Neodiprion lecontei: one gene and its partner. The protein of the gene in region 1 interacts with the protein of each later gene in a pairwise test. Links are inferred from orthologs where the notes say so. Each region holds a gene or a part of one and is shown in the gene's direction. Other genes may lie near its edges.

Region 1 (4,864 bases):
GCTGTTTCAGGCACAGTAAACGGACAGATATTCATATGGGACATCGCAAAACAGGTGGGTCCCAATGGTGAAGGTGGAATCGCAAGATTATTTGTCATTCGCTATGCCTAAATGTGGGATTTTCTTAACTCAGATGATTCGGCACGAGATCCAGCAGAGCAGTGGCATAAGCAAGCTGGTTTGGCACCTGAACACAACACGGTTGTATTCGTCGGGTCTTGACGGAGTGGTGAGATCGTTCGACGCAAGATCTGGTGAAGAGCTTCGCTCCTATACGGGACATCACGCGGATATTCTCGATTTGGTAATCTCTCGGTAAGAATCAATCAACGATTTATACGGTCGTAAACGAAAGCTAAATTAATTGACCGATTCGGTTTTATAGCGATGGAAAGACAATGCTAACCACCTCGGATGACTCCACTGCCCGGATATTCAATATCGGTGATCCAAATTGACACATCACAAAAGAGGATTTATTTCCCATTGATCACAAAAATGCGGGTTTTATCTTGGAGAAAACGATTTTTGATCGACATACGATAGAGGATAATTACCCGTGATTCTTTAATCACACCAATATAATTATCCTCAGCAAATTTCCACATGAATCAAGGATGGTGAAAAATAAATTGTATTATATTGTATACTAGATACTGAACAGTAAAGAATTATTTGTTAACTTAATTGTTACGATTATTATTTGCCCCATTTATGTATGATTTATAGCGCGTCAAAGAGTTGATTCCAGCATTTTTCAAAACTGTCAAAACTTTCAGTAAAAATTCAGTCTTATTTTTCGAGCAAAACATTTTTTCGTCCTAGTATCGTCTTGTATGGCCCTTTGTAGACTAATTGGACCCTCAGGAGCACAAAAAGTTAGCAAAGCGAGCAACAGACCAGCAATGGAAAGATTACAAATCTTTAATTTTTCGGCTGGAACTCTTGATCAGATGCTCGCACCGTATTCGAACTGTGTGCAATCGATTCCTCTCGAAAAATTACGTCGATATAGTGCACAAAGAATTAATTTAACCATTTCTTCAAATCGGCTAAATTTCAACTGAATAAATCCAAAGGGTTTCCTTGCTTTTGTGCGATTTTCAGAGCTCGCAAAGTTTTCGTCTGAGATTCGTTTTGCAGTGCTCTTATTCCACTAATTGGACCGTCAGGAATCAGAAAAAGACATCAAAAACAGCGTGAGTCCAACAGCAGTGGAATTGCCAACGAAATCTTTCGTTTTTCGGCTCTAATCTTGATATGTTGCTCGCAACGTTTTCGGACTGCGTGGAATTGATTCATCATGCGCAATTATGTGAATGCCCACATACAATGTAGATACATCAGTAGACCTGGGGTTCCCCTTTATTTTAATGATTAAAACTTGGGTTTATTGAAGAATCGGTATCGTCTTGACTAACATTAAGCTCCGATTCCTTAAGATCTACTTTCATCACAATTCGCAAATGAAGTGTCTTCATCTCGCAAGAGGCTGAGGAAGAAAGTTTTCCTCACTCGCATACGGGAATAAGTGCGATGCCTAAATAGCACGAATGGAAAGAATTAAGAAACGCGTGTAATCTAAACACTGCCTCCCGATCGAGCTTCGGTTTCTTCTTCCTCCTCGAATCAGTTATCATCATCATCATCATCAGGAATCCGCCTTGTGAGAGCGAGGCGGTCTGTAGGTCAGGCAGGTAGTCGTTGCATCCTCGTTCCTTCTCCGGATTTCTTCCCCTGGTGAGTTCAAATCGGGACGTCAGGTGGGGCCTCTCGTCCTCGAAGTATTGCCCCTGTTCTCGCTCACCTGCCGTAACGCGGTGCGGTCGTCGAATCGCCGTGACTCGCGCTCTCCATTCAGTCAACATTCAGTCAGCTATTTACCTTGCCGCGCCTCGCCTTACTCGCCTAGCACAGCGAGCAGCACGCCGCCACTTCCACCTGGCTACAGGTAGGCATAAGGCAGGCGACAGCCACAGTCACTTTCCGATCTAAACCGAACCTCCCCGAGCGAGTGTGGTGTTAATGTGCCGGTGACCGCGTACCCCGTACGGCCCGTTGTAGCCGTATAAGTGGTTAAAGGTAGACTTCGGCGTTAAAAACTGCTCGGATATTATTCTCGATCGTTTCTTTACCCTTGTTTCATTACAATTATCTTGTTATCGGCGAACCCTCGGTCTCGAGACGCGACGCGCGCCTTCTTAGCGCTCTACTTTTACGTAAATCGCCGCGACTTTAACGATTCGATCTTCCACACCTGTAATAGACGGTGAATATTTTGGGAATGAAAGGTCGCCGAGTACCGATCAGTGTTCTGCAGTGTGCCGCCTTATGGAGTCTTGGGATTTAGCCGATTAATACACCCGCAATTACTTACGCGTATTCAACAAGGTGAGCTAAGCATCTGTTACGTACAAATCGATGTTAATACATACACGTAATATTGTGGGAAGCGACAGGGACCTTGATCTCTGCACGAGACACTGGAAAATTACTACGGCGATCTGTATTTCATTTAGGGATTATACACTGATACGCCCGATTTTTGAAGCTCGGTCAATTGCTTTTTCAATAGTTTCGCCTAGATACACGATCGTGTGTATAGAAAATATTATATTTCTCATCTCTCTCACGCTCCGCCGCGTCTAGCAGGAATCGAACTCTGTAAGGCCTACCGTTACCGCTGACCGTTCCTTCCTTCATCGTGAATTCCCCATATATTTTTGCAGTCAATGACTGCTGTGCTGCTGCTGCTGCTTAATACCCTGGCTGTTGTACGGGATTCCCGATCGGGCGTATCGAGAGACTCGGTAAGCTCTCGCGCCAAGTACACTCGGAGAACAATTTTTTCAGACTCCGGTTTCTCTACCGTAGACACCTTTTTCCTTCCTCCCTACAGTACTAAACGGTGTATATATAGCTGCGTGCAAATTTTTTTGGTACAACAATTATGAGTATGAGTCATACATACCTGAGAAAAGTAATAATTAAACGTCGTGTAAAATTATCGCGTCGCCACGATCCCGCAATTTCAGTACGCATGTATACTGTGATGTAAGCATGTATACTATGCATTAGGTATGACTTATAAGGTACCCAGGAAACGCGGCATTCGGTCAGATCAGCTCGTTATGTCATATGATCAATGTTGGCACAGTTGCGCGTGTGCTTATAATGCACATACAAGTATACGATCCTTCGATATCTATTGGAGTATTTGTTAACCTCTGATTGCTTCAATTACTGAGATTTTCCATGTTTTTATAACAGTAACTAAACGCGCCACCCGATGTAGTGGTTGACCGTTTCAACCATCCCGATTCACTTTGAGACCTGTTAGCTGTATGTTTAATTACATTATTTTGAGCTCCGAATGTGATTTGAATGCCTGATATTCTCGAAATCCAAGTTTCGATGTGTATGTATGCATGTACATACCTATCCTAGGTATGAATTATACATTCACATCTACGAGTCGTGCTTAACTCGGGTCGCGCACGTGCGCGCGGCGTTACGTAGTACATATCAGGCTGAAGTTAGTAACGTTATTGTAATGATTTACGTTTCGAAACAATCGTTATTACACAGTTGCAGAAATGTCTGAAATGCAGTAAATCATAATAAGGCAAAACGTATTCATATTTCGAAAACTGAACTATTTCAAAGTCACTATAAACTAGCGAAAATCATCATGTTTCCCTGAATGTTTCGTGGCCTTAACGTTACTAACTTCAGTCTCATTAGTACCCTCCTGCACATACAGCCAACATGCAGACAAGACATATAATATATCCGATAAACAAGTGCATAGAAATATGACCGCACGCACTCGGATATACCTACGCGTTGTGTAAACAATACAACGAACTCTCACCATCCCTCTCTCGACGTGCAGAGTCACGTACCATGAAGATTGGTGATAATTAGCTATATTGAAAATGAACCGCGGTTGAGGAAGAGAGCCGCAGGAGGGTAAGCAAAAGAAAAGATCTGCAATTTAGTCCGGAGCACTAGACATAACGCACACACGTAAACATCGTCGTCAGCGAATCGGATGTGCGCTTCATTTTTCAGCATAGGTACAGTTGACGCGAATTATCGACTATCGAGTCTTATATGTATAAACGCGTAAGCGGATATAACCGACGACGATGGTGTTATCCAGCCGGGTTGCGCGGCTGTGTACACACTTACTGTACGTGTATAAATGTATACAGGCAGAATATCTAACCCACTTCGCAAACAGGTTTAAAGTTGGCTCTTATACCGTGAGCGCTAACGGTGATTGACCAGGATAACAACTCCCCTGTCTCGCCGCGGCGCGACGGGTCTCGAAGAACAGCATCGGTATGAGAAACGGAAAGGGGCCCGTTTGCGCACGTTAAATGAATAAAATATCTAGGTTCGATCTAGGTATTCTGCAGCAACAGCAGCAACAGCAGCAACCTACTGTTGTAAGTACCGGTGCAGGTTCGCGCGATAATTGCTTATGGTAATTACATCCCCGACGCCCAACACTGAAACACGTTGCACCTCGTGGCCGGTGATTGTTTTGCGTACGAGGCCGAATAGAGCACTCCGGGCATCGTATGCATGTTACGCGTACAACGTACAATACGTGCGTGTATCGACGTCCTCATCCTCTTCGACACCGTCGAAGTTACAGGCTTACAGTACACGCGCATCTTGAATTAAACCCGTGCCCGTTACAAGTCGCTGTGGGCTGTAAGATATGCCGCGGGAATGCGGGATCTATGTAATGATGATGGATTTTTATGATACTCGAAGGCTGCCTGATAAACAGCCTTGTCGCGTTACATACTTACGCTTGTGCCATAAATGTCGTTTTACTGCGCGTATTATT
Region 2 (4,948 bases), on another chromosome or scaffold:
CACAAACTTTTGGCCGGCAGTGTATCTAAAATATGTCTCACTTCTTATCCTTTCGCGCAATTCGAGAAATACTCGTCATCTTCAAACGAGAATCCCTTATTATTCTCGTTATCGTGCCAAAATATTTTTAAGACCCGACCGCATCATCCACTTGGCTTATAAAGTCACGCCGAACCGGTTACTCTAGATAGGGTCAATGTTTAATTGCATAAAAACGGAGAGACGACTAATTGCTAATTACGCCTGTCTTCTAACGCAATTAACAATAAACGAGGGCCGGCGAAGCTTCGCAAGATCAACGTCGCTATCACGTTTCGGGCTGGACTACGAAAATCATTTCATTCATAAGACGAGCGCGTCTTCTTTTCGAATATGTATCTCTTTGAAATCTCTGTCAGATCTCAAAGACCCGCCTTATTCAAAACTTTCGGCTGGGCTTTCAATGAATGGAAAATATATCGCTTATCGTTGTTATATCCCCCACAAGCTCAGAATCAGACTAGTGATGAGAATAAAAATGTTTACTTTCTTCGCCGTTATTATTTTTACTAACGAACGTTAACGCTTAGTAAAAACGTTAATGTTAACCAAGAAAGCTCAATATCCTAAAGTAATTTGCATCGCCATCATTATTCGCAATATAATATATCCGGAAAAATTTTACATGTTTTGTGGATAAACAGAGTTTTAAAATACGATTATTTGTTATTATCAAATTATTTCAGCTGCCAGTAACGTACATAATAATACCTTTGCATGTTTGAAAATCATTTTAGTTTCACTGTTATTATTTATTTTTCTTGATTTCGACTGTTTTAGAAGAATTGTGTGTCTTAGTAAATTTATGCGCAAATTTTTTTTACGTCAGCTGATGTGGGCAGTGATCTACCAGAACGATAGATTACAAAACGATCGACAGATCCGATATAGAATCGTAGACAGAATGTTCAAAAAATTCTTAGAAAATGCAGTTTTCGTCATAGCGAATGACCACAGAAAATTCGATTCTAACGAGCTCGCGTAACTTTGAACAAATACTGTAATTTTCACTGTAGAAAATCATAGAAAAATTCGACACATCTATAGTATAGAAGCATTTGGCAAAAGATGTACAGAGAAAAAAGTGATTTATAAATATGTGGGGAAAAAAATTAAAAATGTACAAGAGCCGCAAACTTCTGCATATATCTGTAAAATCCAGCTTTCAACTTTTTCGTATCGATGACAAAAAATGATGTCAATTTGCAATTTTTCGATACCACTAGTTTCTTTTTCTAATCATTAGGGGCGTCATTGGTAGTCTAAATCCAGAGTTTCGACCAGATTCTGAAGTAGCTTCAGCCGCAATAACGGAATTTATGTGGGATTTTCATTTTTTCATATTACTCACCCATTTTCAGCTGTATTAAAATGGTCTCAGCTAGACTTGCAGGAAATTTAATTCACTACAACTCTGGTCGCAACATTTTTTTGCCTACGGTCAAAATTTCCCGACTTAAACAATAAATTCAGGACGACTGTCGAAGCTATTGAAGATATTTGGTCGAAATTTTGTATTTTTACTATTAATGATCCCCCTTTCCCAACGATTAGAAATATCGAATAGTGGTATCGAAAAATTGCAATTTTAGGTGTTCTTTTTTGTACATAGCGACTGGGCTACTATTTGCGGAAACGATAATTAAACGCATGGTGGTAAGACAGGGAGATGCGTACGTGAAAGGCTGAGCGCAAAGCGGCGCAAAAAGGCGCAAAGAGGCGCAAAGAGGCGAGGAGAGAGGGGGAGGGGACCTTCCACTGGGACTTTGCGTCGTCGGCTAATGTAAGAAAGAGGTACAAGAGAAGGGAGGCTATCCGTTGGAAAGGAAAGGAAAGGAAAGGGAAGGAAGGGGACCCCGATCGGCCCCGACGGCACTTTGGCGTCTACCTGAGCGCCGAGCACTCAGTCCGAGTCCGCCAGGTTTAAAATCTAGCGCGCGGTGCGGCCGAGCTGCCTGTTGATCGCTGTCAAAACACTTGTGTCAACAGCCCCTGTTGTTGTACTACGGAGTTGATAAGGCGCGAGGAGACGCCTCGTATTAACGGGTGAACTCGAAGACCTCGACAACAAACGCCGAGTTATCGTTGTGCCGATCCGATATTAGGGTCACGTGTCCGTTGCCCCAGTGACACGCGGTACATTCGCCGATTTGCTCCGCTTCGCCTCGAGCGAATCGCTACTCGCGCGATCCTTTTCTTGTGCATGTGTCGTGCGGTGCTGTGCGGGGTGAATGTGAATACCTACCTACGAAACGGATTTATTAGTATCCTAGTCTTTAGAGCGCACGAATCTATCGGTCTATGCGGTAAAAATACCTTGTCAGTTCTCTATCTTTTTTTTTTTTTCTTTTTTTTTGTACTCCGCGTCGTTCTTAAAAGTGAGAAATTTCATCAACGCCACCGTGTGCCCGTGACTGTGACTGTGATCATTGTGACATGCCGATCTGTTGACTTACCTCACACCTCATCCTCCAAAGCGGATATGCAGATACTTTGCTACTGGAACGGATACTGACTTTCGCCGATCATGGTACGTCTTTTACTCCGTCGAGATCCATGGGTATAGATATAAATTATAAAGTTCACGAGGAAATATCTTCCTTTGATCATCGCTGATCGCGTCCTATTAGTCTACGTACAACGTTTTGAGTCTACGATGACACTGTCATCGAGTCTATCACACATGGCTGTAGCTCAACAGAGGCTTGTGACAAATGTTGAAATTCTTTACGCCCTGACGCATCGAATAATGAATATAGGCAGTAAGGTCTATCGATTCTCCTTCTGCATTCTAGAGCCATGTATTTCTGTTGTCTCACGTTGACTAACTGAAGAGGAAAATGATCGATAGCAGAAATGGTATGAGGATGAAGCTAGTAACGTTACCGTAACAGTGGATGTTTAGGAGAAATAATCGTCTCAAATTTGATGAACCATGATAAACCAAACATACTCATATTTTTAAAAGCCAAGTTCTTGAAATTCGTTCAGGAATTGCACAGTAATGATATTATCCCTGATGATTCGTTACGTTAATCTTATTAACTTCAGCCTCGTGAAATGGTAAGAAGTAAAATTTTCAACGCTGCTTTCACATTGGAGTTAAGAATGCAATTACCTATTAATTAGAACACGAATGGTAAATTGGCTTCGAATGGGGCCGGGGAAATTCCGGATTATTCAGATTGCCATCAACAAACCTGTGAATATTGTAAACATCAGTTGCGAAAATATAATGACGCAGGTGAAAAGTTATCAGCTATGGGGATCAAACGTAGGTGAGAAAACGAAGGGCATAGGTACGAAGAGATCAGAGATCTACAGATAGTAAGTACACTACGGGTTTGTTGCACACACACCTGCGGAAAGTTTATTAGCTCCATCCGGATTCCAATTTCCGGTCTAGACCTGCGAGTGGATCGAAAAGAGATCACATCGGTTCGTTGATTAATATTTGCAACCGGTTAGAATCCCTCAACTCCAATGATTTCAATGAGATTATGACGTTGTCGACATCCCAGGCTAGAGCCAATAAATAATCGAATCTGTAATTCATGCAAAAATACAGTGTTGAACGAGCAAAAATCATAAGAAATAAAATTGGACGATTCCCAGATACTAACAAACTTAGAACTCTATTTTATTTCTGAAAATGCATTACACATTCCGTTTTTGATCTGCTAAAAGCTTTTTAATCGGAGGTAGAATACGTTAGCGAGTTGACATTCTTGACATTGACATATTAAGGCTTGACATTCAACTTGAAAATCGAACCGTAAGAAATATTGTTCGTTTAATATAAAATGCACTTCAGAGCTTTCGTGAACAAAAGAAGTGAGCAAGTGATACGGATATAAAAATATTTAGACATTGCAATCTCTAAGTCACTTGATGTTCACGGGTAAAAAACGAGGGAAAATATGTTCTGATGAAGTAATTTAATTAAACTATTGGTTTCTCAAACTACATCTTAAGTTCAAGTCGCAATCTCTCGAAAAATGTTGAAAACGTACATTTCTGTTTCCAAATTCAATTAACCGTCAAACTGGATGCGGCTGATCTTTTTGTGGTTGAAGCGGAATTCTGGGGCAAAAACTCTATAAGAATCACTTAGATTCATTCGAAATGACTGAAAAAAGTCTGTTTGGTCGAACTGTAAAATTGGTGATTCGCTGTAGTCTAATTCTCTTGCAACAGAAGAGCAGAATCATAACCGAAGGTTAAATTGCTGGTTTTACGGATTTCCGATCCGGGCTCATGAATCATGAATCATGAATCGATGGGTTTTTCAACGCTTCTACATCCTTGGCTTTTTAGATTTCAATATTGCTTTAGATGCCACACCGCATCGCAAACAAACAAGCGCGATACTTGCTAGAAAATTAATTTAAAAAATATAACGCGTTAATCTAACTGAACATACATTGTGAGTCAAAAACCAATCTTTTCTCGTACTTATTGTTAGTAAAATGCAAAATACACGTGATTGCCTAATCCCTTATCGCGTGCGGTGAGGTAATAATTCTATTTTTTTCTGACTCTTTTGCGAGCTGAAATTGCCTGCAGCTACGCACTAGAGCGAACACTTTTCAATTTACATCTTATATACGTACTACGGATTTACTCAATAGCGAAGACCGCGTAATATGCCGTGGAAGAAAGTTACTTTACAGCTTCCGCGTTTTACCCTTTCAATCACGCAATTCAATTACCTGAGAATGCAAAAAAAAATAAAAAATTCGGGATTTTCCAATAGAACATTAAAAAAAAAGGAGAAGAAAAAAGATTGCCACTGCGAATGAAAGGGTTGACCGTAGTCTTCCGTTCGTTCAATTGCGACATAAATTAATTGCATCAAGAAGTAGACTTTGATACTAGACAAATTTGAAGGATTCGACGCAGGCTTGTC

What was found.
Region 2: the proteins of myosin-VIIa (region 1) and cadherin-99C interact in binary tests that used the Drosophila melanogaster proteins (3 or more experiments, as listed by UniProt). The link is inferred for Neodiprion lecontei from reciprocal best matches to the Drosophila melanogaster genes ck and Cad99C.

What each region holds. Positions count from the first base shown.
Region 1 is NC_060264.1:23,440,578-23,445,441, reverse strand, and holds the start of myosin-VIIa, read left to right. Parts: upstream 1-1,856; 5' UTR 1,857-1,951; intron 1,952-1,970; exon of another isoform or gene 1,971-2,391; intron 2,392-4,864. Other genes in the region: angio-associated migratory cell protein, read left to right, coding at 1-54, 134-315, 386-458. UniProt on the Drosophila melanogaster protein: Myosins are actin-based motor molecules with ATPase activity. Unconventional myosins serve in intracellular movements: can function in cells as a single-molecule cargo transporter.
Region 2 is NC_060260.1:9,972,922-9,977,869, reverse strand, and holds the start of cadherin-99C, read left to right. Parts: upstream 1-1,933; 5' UTR 1,934-2,566; coding exon 2,567-2,569; intron 2,570-4,948. UniProt on the Drosophila melanogaster protein: Cadherin that functions in epithelial morphogenesis and the intestine epithelial immune response. Essential for female fertility. Regulates the length and organization of apical microvilli in developing follicle cells and salivary glands.